Linked DNA regions of Callithrix jacchus. The protein of the gene in region 2 interacts with the protein of the main gene of each other region in a biochemical or structural test. Links are inferred from orthologs where the notes say so. Each region holds a gene or a part of one and is shown on either strand. Other genes may lie near its edges. The genes, in order: IGF1R, ARHGEF12 and RPS6KA1.

Evidence for each region.
Region 1: the proteins of ARHGEF12 (region 2) and IGF1R form a complex in vitro, tested with the Homo sapiens proteins (2 studies listed by BioGRID and IntAct, with this or other methods). The link is inferred for Callithrix jacchus from reciprocal best matches to the Homo sapiens genes ARHGEF12 and IGF1R.
Region 3: the proteins of ARHGEF12 (region 2) and RPS6KA1 interact in a test that uses a peptide from one of them, tested with the Homo sapiens proteins (2 studies listed by BioGRID and IntAct, with this or other methods). The link is inferred for Callithrix jacchus from reciprocal best matches to the Homo sapiens genes ARHGEF12 and RPS6KA1.

What each region holds. Positions count from the first base shown.
Region 1 is NC_133507.1:10,997,971-11,001,618, reverse strand, and holds part of IGF1R (insulin-like growth factor 1 receptor), read right to left. Parts: coding exon 3,600-3,648; intron 1,991-3,599; coding exon 1,752-1,990; intron 1-1,751. UniProt on the Homo sapiens protein: Receptor tyrosine kinase which mediates actions of insulin-like growth factor 1 (IGF1). Binds IGF1 with high affinity and IGF2 and insulin (INS) with a lower affinity. The activated IGF1R is involved in cell growth and survival control.
Region 2 is NC_133511.1:20,095,545-20,099,192, forward strand, and holds part of ARHGEF12 (rho guanine nucleotide exchange factor 12), read left to right. Parts: intron 1-179; coding exon 180-294; intron 295-1,039; coding exon 1,040-1,145; intron 1,146-2,771; coding exon 2,772-2,984; intron 2,985-3,648. UniProt on the Homo sapiens protein: May play a role in the regulation of RhoA GTPase by guanine nucleotide-binding alpha-12 (GNA12) and alpha-13 (GNA13). Acts as guanine nucleotide exchange factor (GEF) for RhoA GTPase and may act as GTPase-activating protein (GAP) for GNA12 and GNA13.
Region 3 is NC_133508.1:63,192,739-63,196,486, reverse strand, and holds the start of RPS6KA1 (ribosomal protein S6 kinase alpha-1), read right to left. Parts: upstream 2,674-3,748; 5' UTR 2,618-2,673; coding exon 2,483-2,617; intron 1,667-2,482; coding exon 1,550-1,666; intron 784-1,549; coding exon 702-783; intron 1-701. UniProt on the Homo sapiens protein: Serine/threonine-protein kinase that acts downstream of ERK (MAPK1/ERK2 and MAPK3/ERK1) signaling and mediates mitogenic and stress-induced activation of the transcription factors CREB1, ETV1/ER81 and NR4A1/NUR77, regulates translation through RPS6 and EIF4B phosphorylation, and mediates cellular proliferation, survival, and differentiation by modulating mTOR signaling and repressing pro-apoptotic function of BAD and DAPK1.

The DNA.
Region 1 (3,648 bases), on a different chromosome or scaffold from region 2:
GGTAGTAAATGGACTCCTTTGTACAGTGCCTGGTTTCCATCTTTGCGGAAAGGAAACAGGTTTCTTGAGAATCTGTCACAATAAGCAGAGATTCCTGTTTTCCAAACGCTACAGTGAGCTGCTGGTCAGGGTTACTTCCACATTTTAAGATGAAAAACTTATTGTGTTGCATTAAGCCTCTGCTACACCAACACACACCCAGGATCAGAAGCCTGTGCCAAATTTATTTGTATCATCACGTTACCCAGTGACATGACTGTGGCCATGCACAGGATCATGGAAATAGGGTAGGAGGGGAGGAAGCAGCAGGAATGCACAGCAAAAGGTTCTCCCTGCCAGCATTTTATCCTCACCTCCTCTCTGCCATTTAAACTCATTTTGTGCTAGCTTGTGAGTATTTAAAAGTACCTTACCCACTAAAATAATGGCTATTATAAAAAAAATGTTTCAGTGCTGTGGACTGAACGCCTGTGTCCCACCCCAAAATTCACAGGTCGAAATCTTAACCCCTAAGATGATGGGATTAGGAGATGTGGCCTTTGGGAGGTGACTGGGTCATGGGGGTGAAGCCCTCATGAATGGAATCTGGGCCCTTCTATGAGAGGCCCTGAAGAGTGCTCTGGCATCCCCACCACCATGCAATGACAATGAAAAGACAGCCATCTATGAGCCAGGGAGTGGGCCCTCTCCAGACACCAAACCCACCAGCACCTTCATTTTGCACTCTGGGACTTCGGAACTGTGAAACATTTCTATTGTTTATAAGCCACCCAGGCTATGCTGTTTTTTGTGACAGAAGCTCCAATGGACTAAAACAATCAGTGTCTTTAAACCTGAAGTGCATTTTCCTACTTCTGAACTAGTTTTTATATACTCAGAAAACACTTATGTTTGCTTTTATTGTTTCCAGATCTGGAGTTGAGAAATGAGGTGGTTCAGAACCTGAAGACAGTGGAAGGAAGGAGGAACATCTTCATCAGTGAAAACTTTGACTATCCACAACATACTACATCTGCCGTCTTTCAACTTTTGCTGACCTCCTTGGAACTCCACAGGCTCCAGAATGACGATGGACACCAGGGAGCTACAGGAAGTAAGTGGAACACAGATCACTTTCGGTTCCTGGAGACTGGAACATCAAAACAAACAAGGAAGAAGGGCAGCCGGAGATGACTGTTTCCTGGCTGGGCCTTCCAATGAAACCAGCCCAGCACCCTGGAGGACCTGGGCTCATAGGCACAGAGCAGGAACGAGATGATGGAAGATGGTACCAAGGCCAGAAGGTGGCACGAAGAGCCTAACATGTTAGAAGTGGGGATATGGGCCAGGCACGGTGGCTCATGCCTGTAATCTAAGCACTTTGGGAGGTGGAGGTGAGCGGATCACCTGAGGTCAGGAGTTCAAGATCAGCCTGTCCAACATGGTAAAACCCCATCTCTACTAAAAATTCAAAAATGAGTCGAGTGTGTCAGGTGCCCGTAGTCCCAGTTACTCTGGAGGCTGAGGCAGGAGAATCGCTTGAACTCGGGAGGCAGAGGTTGCAGTAAGCCAGGATCGCACCACTGCACTCCAACCTAGGAGACAGAGACTCCGTCTCAAAAAAAAAAAATGAATGTAACACAGTATTACCTATTGACGAGAAAGACAACAGCCATAGCTCACTGCTAATCCTACAACAGCACCATGTATAAGCAAGCCCAGTGAGCGGGCGAAGAAGCGTGGATGCTGAGGGCTTGTCTGGGCACAGATACCTGAAGCATTGGTGCGAATGTACAAGATCTCACTCTTGGCCCCACGGATATGGTCGTTCTCCACCATGGTGAGGGTTACAGCCTTGACGTAAACAGCGTACTGAGTCCAGGGCTTCAGCCCATGCAGTAAGACACCGGGCTCCACGTCCTTGTTCTGGGGGAGGTCCACATCCACCATGTTCCAGCTGTTGGAGCCACAGGCGTCCTGCCCATCATACTCCGTGACATTCTTAAAGGGTCTGAAAGACAATCAAGTTCAGAGAAGGTTCAGGGCTCTGACATTCAAACACTCAAAAACCTTCCCCAGAGGCCCAGCATGTCACACGCTCTATAATGGGAGGTTTAAAGAAAGAATCAATTAGACTTAGAAGAAGAAAAGGAAGCGACTGAACTCCGGGCTTCCCCAGTCGTGCACTACAGACTTGAATGCTCTGCCTCAGGAAGAGCCAGTTCAACAGTTACTGGGTTTCACTAGTGACTGCTCCTTAAGAACATATGCAAATACTATTTTTCTCTCTTCTGACTGCAGCATTTTTTTCATCATTAAGAAAAAACAAGCATAGTCAGTTAATGCAAATATCGGATACTGATAAAAGGTAACTGTTAGAGAAAAAATGACTTTCCTACAAACAGAAGTAGCCTCTAAAATTCAAATTGCTCATACACAATTCTGATGCTCAAGCACGTTATAATATTCAGATATTTAGTTTCCAGATTGCCTTAGAAACTAGCATCAAGTCCTTAGTGAAATTACCCGCTGACTTTGCCGAAGCATTGGTGCGACTGTGAAAGGGAACACAGTGTTTTACACAGATGCATGGCTGGGTAGATGCTTTACATCTATCAGATAAAAGGGCTGGGCAGCTGCTGGCCACTGGCTTCTGAAACAAACATTAACAAATCTATACCTGCTATCATGATGGGAGGTCACGAGGGGCTCCCCTATGTACAAATCCTGAAAGCCTAGAAATCCTCATATCCCATTTCTCATCCATAGGACCCCAGCTCTGGCAGAAGAGAGTATAAGATGCCGTCATAAGGTGCCTCTGCTTTCTGCTCTTGGGAAGCCACGTACCTGGCTTCCCAAGAGCAGAACTATGGGATTAAGATGGGACCCGGGTAAGGTGGATGGCTAACTAGACCGGGGTAGCCACCTGGATACAGGATGCAATGGAAGGAAGAGGAGGAACAGAGAGCTGCCGTCGGAAGGAATGAGCCTTGGTTGCTTAGGTGGGTGAATGTCATGTGGTCGCACAAGAAAAGCTCCCAACAGAGTCTGGGAGAAGTCACAAAAAGCTCAAGAAATGATGGCTGTTCTCTCTCCACTTTCCTTCGCTTGTTTGGGAGGCTCATTACCTGGAACGGAGGGCCTCAGCTTGGGAGAGGCACAGAGAGAGAGAGACAGGAATAAGATGAGCCATGGGTCACCTCGGTAGAGCCATGTGGCTGCAGGGTGTTCCTAGAGTAGGGCTAGTGGGTAAGGAGGCTGAAACAATATTTCAGTGAAGTCCCCTGTCATCGATTATGAGTCTGGTCTGACCTAATTCTGGAAAAAAACAAGCTTTCCCCACTTTGGGTTTATTTTATTCAAACATCTCTAATCACTTACTAAAGAATGACAGGCCTCAAAGCTAACACTTTCCCATTGGTGGCTGTCACTGGCTGTGACTCACATCATGGGGACAGCCCAGGAGGGCGCATGAGATGAAGTGGGGATGCTTGGCATGGCTCTCCCTGGGGACCCTGCTGACTCCCCGCATTCAGCCAACCCCTGCAAGGACCAAAAGACTGGCCTCTCCCACTCGCAGCCCTGTCAACAGAATGGCATCACCCAAAGCAGAAACTCACGCTTCCTTGTAGAAGACGGTGAAACTGATGAGATCCCTGTAGTCGGGGG
Region 2 (3,648 bases):
TATTCTACTGTTGTCCTGAGTAGAATTCTTTTCTCTGTGCAATGACTAGATAGTTGTTTAGTTTTTGTTTGATTAATTTCAATAATTTCAAGCTTGGGGTTTTGGAAATCATTTGATGTCTTTATTCTACTAACCCTCCCTTCTCAGAAGCTTAATTTACTTCATCCTTTCTCCTCCAGTTCCACCATGCAGTATGTTATTCTCATGTATATGAAGCATTTGGGAGTAAAAGTGAAAGAGCCTCGAAATTTGGAGCACAAGCGGGGTCGGATTGGATTTCTTCCAAAAATCAAGGTAAGACTGAAATAATGTAATAGCATGTTGAGGCCTTAGGGCTGCTTTACATCTGGTTGCAGTGTGTTCCATTCATTGTCTTCGTATTTACTTAATCAGCAAATTAATGCTAGTTATACCAACATGTATAAGGTATTATTTCTGTTCTCAAGAAACTCAAAATCTAGTGAGAAATCCAGACATATAAACTAAACTAACATTAGACAATGTGAAAAGTGAAATTAGCAGTTTACAAAGAGTGCTGTCTCTGATTCTGTTCAAGCCTTATACTTTTACTTTGCCTGAACTAATTACTCCTATGTTGTTATATAATTTTCATAAACATCTTTAGTGGCAGTATTCTGTCAGTTTGTAATTAGTTGTGTTTTTGTTTAGGGTTTATTAGATTGGAAAGCTGTATGAATATAAGGACCTTTTTTATTATTATATTCTCAACTGTTAGTATATTTGTTGAATGGATGAATGAATTCTTAATAGAATAAGTTCCTGGTAAATGTGCTATAAAGCTACCCTTTGATTTTTTCCAACTGTCAGTGATGAAGGATTTGCGAAAACATCTTGAGTTTGAGGTGTACACAGTACTGTGTGAACTTTTAATGAGCACTCTGTGTATGTGCATACATATGCACGGGTTTTCATTTACATTTAACAGTTTTTTTGAGCTAATCATTAGCATTACACTATGAAAATAGCAAAAGAAATTTACTCTGTTACATATCTCTTATTTTTTGTACTTCAACTCTAGCAAAGTATGAAGAAAGATAAAGAAGGGGAAGAAAAAGGGAAGCGAAGAGGATTCCCCAGTATCCTGGGACCCCCACGGAGACCAAGCCGTCACGACAACAGTGCAAGTATGTTGACGTTTGAAGTGGTATGTTTTCACTATTCCAGACCCTCTTCATATCAGAGGCTTCTTGGCTAGAATGACTTTCTGGAAAAAGGAGTTGTTAAGATAATGTTGCTGAACGCTTAATATGCCTTGTTTCCGTTCAGCATTATTTCTGAACTGAGTACCCGCTCTCTTGCTACATAATTGTCATAAACATCTTTAGTGGCAGTATTCTGTCAAATGTCCATAACATAGTTTACTTACCTCTTCTGATTCTGTTTGCTTTCAACTTGTATTTGTTAAATTAAAAAAAAAAGTGTGTATATATCTCTCCACCACACTGTTTAGCCTCTTTATACATACTTACTTAGTCTCCTTACTTCTAAAATTTCTCCACATCTCTACTTTATTTTCTGATAGAGATCAGCCCACTTGGGATGGCTGCAGGAGAAATAGGGATGGTGGTACCATGGGAAGGGGTCATGTGATGGTTCTTATCTCAGGCAGTACCACATTTGAAAACACTGAAGCCAGGTGCAGTGGCTCTTGTCTGTAATTCCAACACTTTCTGAGGCCGAGGTGGGAGGATTATTTGAGCTGGGAGTTCGAGACCAGCCTAGGCAACATAGAGAGATCCTCCTCTACAAAAACAACCACCACCACAAAAATGAGCTGGGTATCATGGTGTATGCATGTAGTCTAAGCTACTTGGCAGGCTGACGTAGGAGGATTGCTTTAGTCTGGGGAGTCAAGGCTGCTGTGAGCCATCATCTCACCATTAAACTCTAGCCTGCGTGACAAAGTGAGACACTGTCTCAATAAAAAAAAGATATTGGCATGGTAGAGTGGTGGGAGTGGACCTTTGGTAGTGAATGTCCCACACAATGAGGAGTCCTTACTCAAATGCCAGTAGTGCCCCTTGTTGAGAAACATGGAGAAGGAGGGAAATTTTTAGAGAAAGTTAAAGATATAGTGGATTTCACAGATGCTATCCGTGAATTCCAAGGGATACAAAAGAAGAATTTGAGGAATTAGGGAAGGTGGGGTTAGATGGGTATAAAAAGCTGTGTGAGGGTACAGAACGCTATGGAGGATGAAGACCATAGTGGGAGTCTTCGGCTTCTTGTGGTGACTTTGTGAACAGGATAATTAGCAGGATGGGGATTGGTCTGAATGATCTGTGAGGCACATTGTGATGATGAAGTTGTGAGTGTTTGGGGGAGAACTGGGGTGGCAGCTTACTAAGAACTCACAAATATAAAGGACTTCATCTTCATTCTTACAAATGAGCAAAGCTCCATGTCTGTCTCTCAGCATTCCTCCTCCCTCTGTCCATCACTGCTCTCCTTATTTCCTTTTCTCATGACCCTCCTTCTTTCCCTACTTCCTCCTCTTCCTCACCTTCATCTTACTGCCTCATCCTCATCCCTCCTCCATCTCCCCATCTTTCTCCTCTAACTTCCTCTCCTTTTCTCTCTTCTCTTCTTCCTTCCTTCATCTGTGTGTATGTTTCTCTGTATAATAATTCACTATATATATTTTTAGGGTCCACCATGTTTCAGACATTGTTCCAGATTCTTTTACATTTTCGTTTTTTTCTTTTCAGCTAGTTTGCAATACAGACTATTAACCATCATTTTCTGTTCAGTTGGCAGAGCCATGGAACTACAGAAGGCGCGCCACCCTAAGCACTTATCCACACCCTCATCTGTGAGTCCTGAACCTCAGGACTCTGCCAAGTTGCGCCAGAGTGGGTTAGCAAATGAAGGAACAGACACTGGATACCTGCCTGCCAATTCCATGTCTTCTGTAGCTTCAGGGGCCTCTTTTTCCCAGGAAGGAGGGAAAGAGAATGATACAGGTGAGCTAATGCTATAGTTCAGCTCAATAAGCATCAAGATTTCAAAACAAACAACAGTAACTGAAAAGTAGAGTGGCAAATTATTTTAATCAAGACTAAATCCCAGTTTAATTTTAACATTTTAATATGCTACAACCAATAATAAATTTATGCTGAATGATCATTTTAATTCTCATTTGTCCAAAAAGTATTTACTAAGCTCTCTGTCAGGCATTAGCTTTGTCCCAGATGTTAACGTGCCATAATTATACACAGATGCTTGCCTCATGCAGCTTACTCTCTTGAGAGTGATAGTCACAAATATAAAAGTTGTAAATTGTGCCAAGTCCAGTCAAGGAAAGGTAAAGGGAATATTGAGGTCAGTAACTGGGTGGTAGTTAGAGGCAGATGTAGGTGTCTAAAGAAGACTTTTTAAAAATCTGAGATTAACTAGAGATTTTATTTTTAATTGTTAGTAGGAAACCAGCTGAAAGAAAAGGTAGAATATGTGGGAAAGATATATAAGTATTAGAATAGAGTTGTGAGGATTTAGTGTATGTAATGGATAAGACTATTTACTGAGAGTAAGAGTTCAGTAAGAAGAGCAAAGGAATTTGAAGAGTAAAGAAGGATATGAAGTAATTATTGTAGATAATTGGGCAAGGAGCTTATTACCATGTCTTCA
Region 3 (3,748 bases), on a different chromosome or scaffold from region 2:
TCTCTTGCCTTGCCCAGCTGCCTCCCTGGGCTCCCTGCCTCTTTACTCATGCCGTTCTCTCAGGCCCATGAGTTAGAGGCCACAGAGGTCTCCCTCAGACTCTTCTAGCATCATGAAGCAACCCTGCCAATAGTCAGAACGCCTCTGCCAGACCAGCTTGGTATCTGAGGGTCCCTCCCCTGAAAAACACATTGCATTTATCCAATTTTTTTTTTTTTTCAGACAGAGTCTCACTCTGTCGCCCAGGCTGGAGTGCAGTCTCCGCCTCCCAGATTCAAGCGATTCTCCTGCCTCAGCCTCCTGAGAAGCTGGGATTACAGGCATCATGCCTGGCTAATTTTTGCATTTTTAGTAGAGATGGGGTTTCACCGTCTTGGCCAGGCTGGTCTCAAACTCCTGACCTCGTGATCCCCCCGCCTCAGCCACCCAAAGTGCTGGGATTACAGGCGTGAGCCACTGCGCCCAGCCATGCATTTATCCTATTACTACCTTCCAGACCTTCACAGCCAGTCATTGGCACTTGGCTTAGGGGAAGGGGATTGGGTGGGGAGGGATGGCTGAGACATAGGCCTGTCTCTCCGCTTTTGAACTAGGTGCTCTGAAGACAGAGCTGTCTTCCTTGCCAGAACCAAGGTCCCTGAAGTGTGGGCTGCCTCCCTCAGCCCAGCCTGGGTTCTGCACAGGGAGGTGTCCCTACTCACCTTTCAATGTCGCCTTCTTCAGCACCTTCATGGCATACAGGTGCCCACTGTCAGGCCGGGTAACTTTCCGCACCAGGAAGACCTGAGAAGGCAGAGCAGGAAGCAGGGGATAAGATGGGAGATGGGAGAGGGCTGAGTCCAGGCTGGAGTGCAATGGCGTGGTCTCAGCTCACCACAACCACCACCTCCCAGGTTCAAGCGATTCTCCTTCCTCAGCCTCCCAAGTAGCTGGGATTACGGGCATGCGCCACCACACCCAGCTAATTTTGCATGTTTAGTAGAGACGGGGTTCCTCCACGCTGGTCAGGCTGGTCTCGAACTCCTGACCTCAGGTGATCTGCCCACCTCAACCTCCTAAAGTGCTGTGATTACAGGCGTAAGCCACCATGTCTAGCCTCTTTTTTTCTTTACTTTTTTAAGACAGAATCTTGCTCTGTCACCAGGCTGGAGTGCAGTGGCGTAATCTCGGCTCACTGCAACCTCCACCTCCTGGGTTCAAGTGATTCCCCTGCCTTAGCCTCCCAAGTAGCTGGGACTACAGGTGCCCACCACCACACCCAGCTAATTTTTTGTATTTTAGTAGAGACAGGGTTTCACCATGTTGGTCAGGATGGTCTTGACCTCCTGACCTTGTGATTCACCCACCTCAGCCTCCCAAAGTGCTGGGACTACAGGCATGAGCCACTGCGCCTGGCCAATGACCTGTATCTTCTCTGAGCCCCAAGCTGACCTTTTTGCTCTCCGTGGGTACCAAGGTGACCTCTGATACTTTGGGCCCATAGGTGAGCCTTGATCCCCACCTCCAACATGACCAACGTTGCCTTCACAGCCATGGGCTCATGACTCACTTTGCCGAAGGATCCCTGGCCCAGAACCTTGAGGAGCTCGAAATGGGATGGATCAGCCTTCTCAGAGCCAGCCTTGACGTGGTGCGTGATGGAGATCTCCTTGAGGACGCCCTCATCCTGATGGAGGGATAGAGCTGGTGGGCACAGTGGGCCCCATCTGGGCAGCAGGAGGCATATCCCCCCTGCCCAAGTCCCTTCCCACCAGACCGCAGCAGATGGGACCTAAAGGCCCAACAGATGACTTCCCTGAAGGGCTAGCCTCCAGGGACATCAATTTCAAAAGGGCCTCAAAGGTTGGTGAGGTCAAACCAGAAAAGGTACCACTCCTATTGCTCCTGATGCTCTGGATGGCCCAGAGGGATGCCCAGGCATGGCCAGGCTCAGCTAACCCGACTTGGCTGAGACCCAGAGACCTGTCCCAGGTCTGCCCGTGGGGCTTCCCTCCCCCTGCTGTTTTAGTTTTGCCACAATAGGAAGTAGGTTTGTTCTCATATGGGGAGGTAGAGCTGGGCCTTCATTCCTGGTCAGGATGGGAAGAGGGATCCCTCTGGTCAGTAGGACAGGGCTGAGGTGCACAAAGACCCAAGAGTCACCCAAACTCCCCCATCGACTTGGTCAGCGCTGGCCTGGGGCAGGTCAGAGTTAAGGCCGGAGATTGCATGGCTCATCTTCCCAAACTTCCCTCCTACAAACCTATTAGAAGTGCCTTGCCAGAGCCTCACTGTTCCAGGACTCTAACCTCCCTCCAATCTGCTGGTATTACCTTGAAGCCCTCAAGTGCCTCTTCACCTCCCCAGGAAGCAAGTCTGGGCAGGGTCCAGTCACCCCTGGCAGGGCCAGGACAGACCAAAGCCAACTTGCATTAAGCTAGCTTCCCAGGCACCTGTGCGAGGGACACAGCCAGGCCAGGACCAGACATCCGGGCACACTCACCAAGTCCTGCTGGGAGCCAGAGCCAAGGCCAGGGACAGGCAGAGAGGTCTGGCTGATCCTGGGCCGGTGCTTCCTGGGCAGCCAGGGGAGCAGGGCCCAGAGCCGCAGACGGGGCGGCTTGGGATCCTGCTCCATCCGCCCAGCAGGGCCACAGCACCATGGCAGGAGCAGGCAGCGACCAGGGCTGCCGCGGAGGTGGCCCGGACCAAGGCGGATGTGCAGGGTAAGGGCGGGGGCTGGGCCCGGCCCAGGGCAGCCAATCACTCAGGGTCTGTGGTTTCCCAGCTCCAGGCCTACACCCTCACCACGTTCCCTTCCTCTCTCCCCACTCCCCAGTGTCTGAGGGCTGCCCTCTGGCCATTCCCCCATCCTCCCTTTGCAGAGGCCTGCAAGGGGAAAGCCCCCTGCCAATGCAGCTGCTGAGCAGACAGGTACCCAACAGCAGATAGGTACCCAACAGGCAAAGACAGATGCCTGATTTGTGGAGGCAGACGAAGAGAGACACCCAACAGGCAGAAGCAGGCACCCAAGAGGTGGAAACAGATAAGAATGGCATCTAATAGTCAGGGGCAGGAGGGAACACATACCCAACAGGCAGGGATGGATAAGGATACCTATCCAACAGGCAGAGGCAGGAGAAATTCATACCCAGTAGAAAACAGATGGAGACATGTACCCAACAAGAAGCAGCAGGAAGGGACTCATATCTAACAGACAGAGGTGAACAGAAGCTCATCCCCAATGTGTGTAGGCAGATAGGGGCACAAACCCAACAGGCAGAGACAGAAAGGGACATGTACCCAACAGCCAGAGACAGATGGGGACATGTACCCAACAGGCAAAGACAGAAGGGGACGTAAACCCAACAGGCAATGACAGAAGGGGCCATGTATCCAACAGCACAGAAACAGATGGTGACATGAACCCAACAGACAGAGGCAGAAGTGGACACGAACCCAACAGGCAATGACAGAAGGGAACATAAACCCAACAGGCAGAGACAGAAGGGGACAGGTACCCAACAGGCAGAGACAGAGGGGACATGTATCCAATGGCAGAGATAAATGAAGACATAAACCCAACAGGTAGAGACAGAAGGGGACATGAACAACAGGCACCTAACATGTGACATGTGCCCAACAGGTGAAGGCAGGTACTTATCAAGTGGAGACAGAGATTGTAATCCAACAACAGACACAGGTAGGCAGCAAAGAGAAACAGCCAGTGTCAGTGAGGCCCAAGTAGACTGGCAGACACCTAGGACAG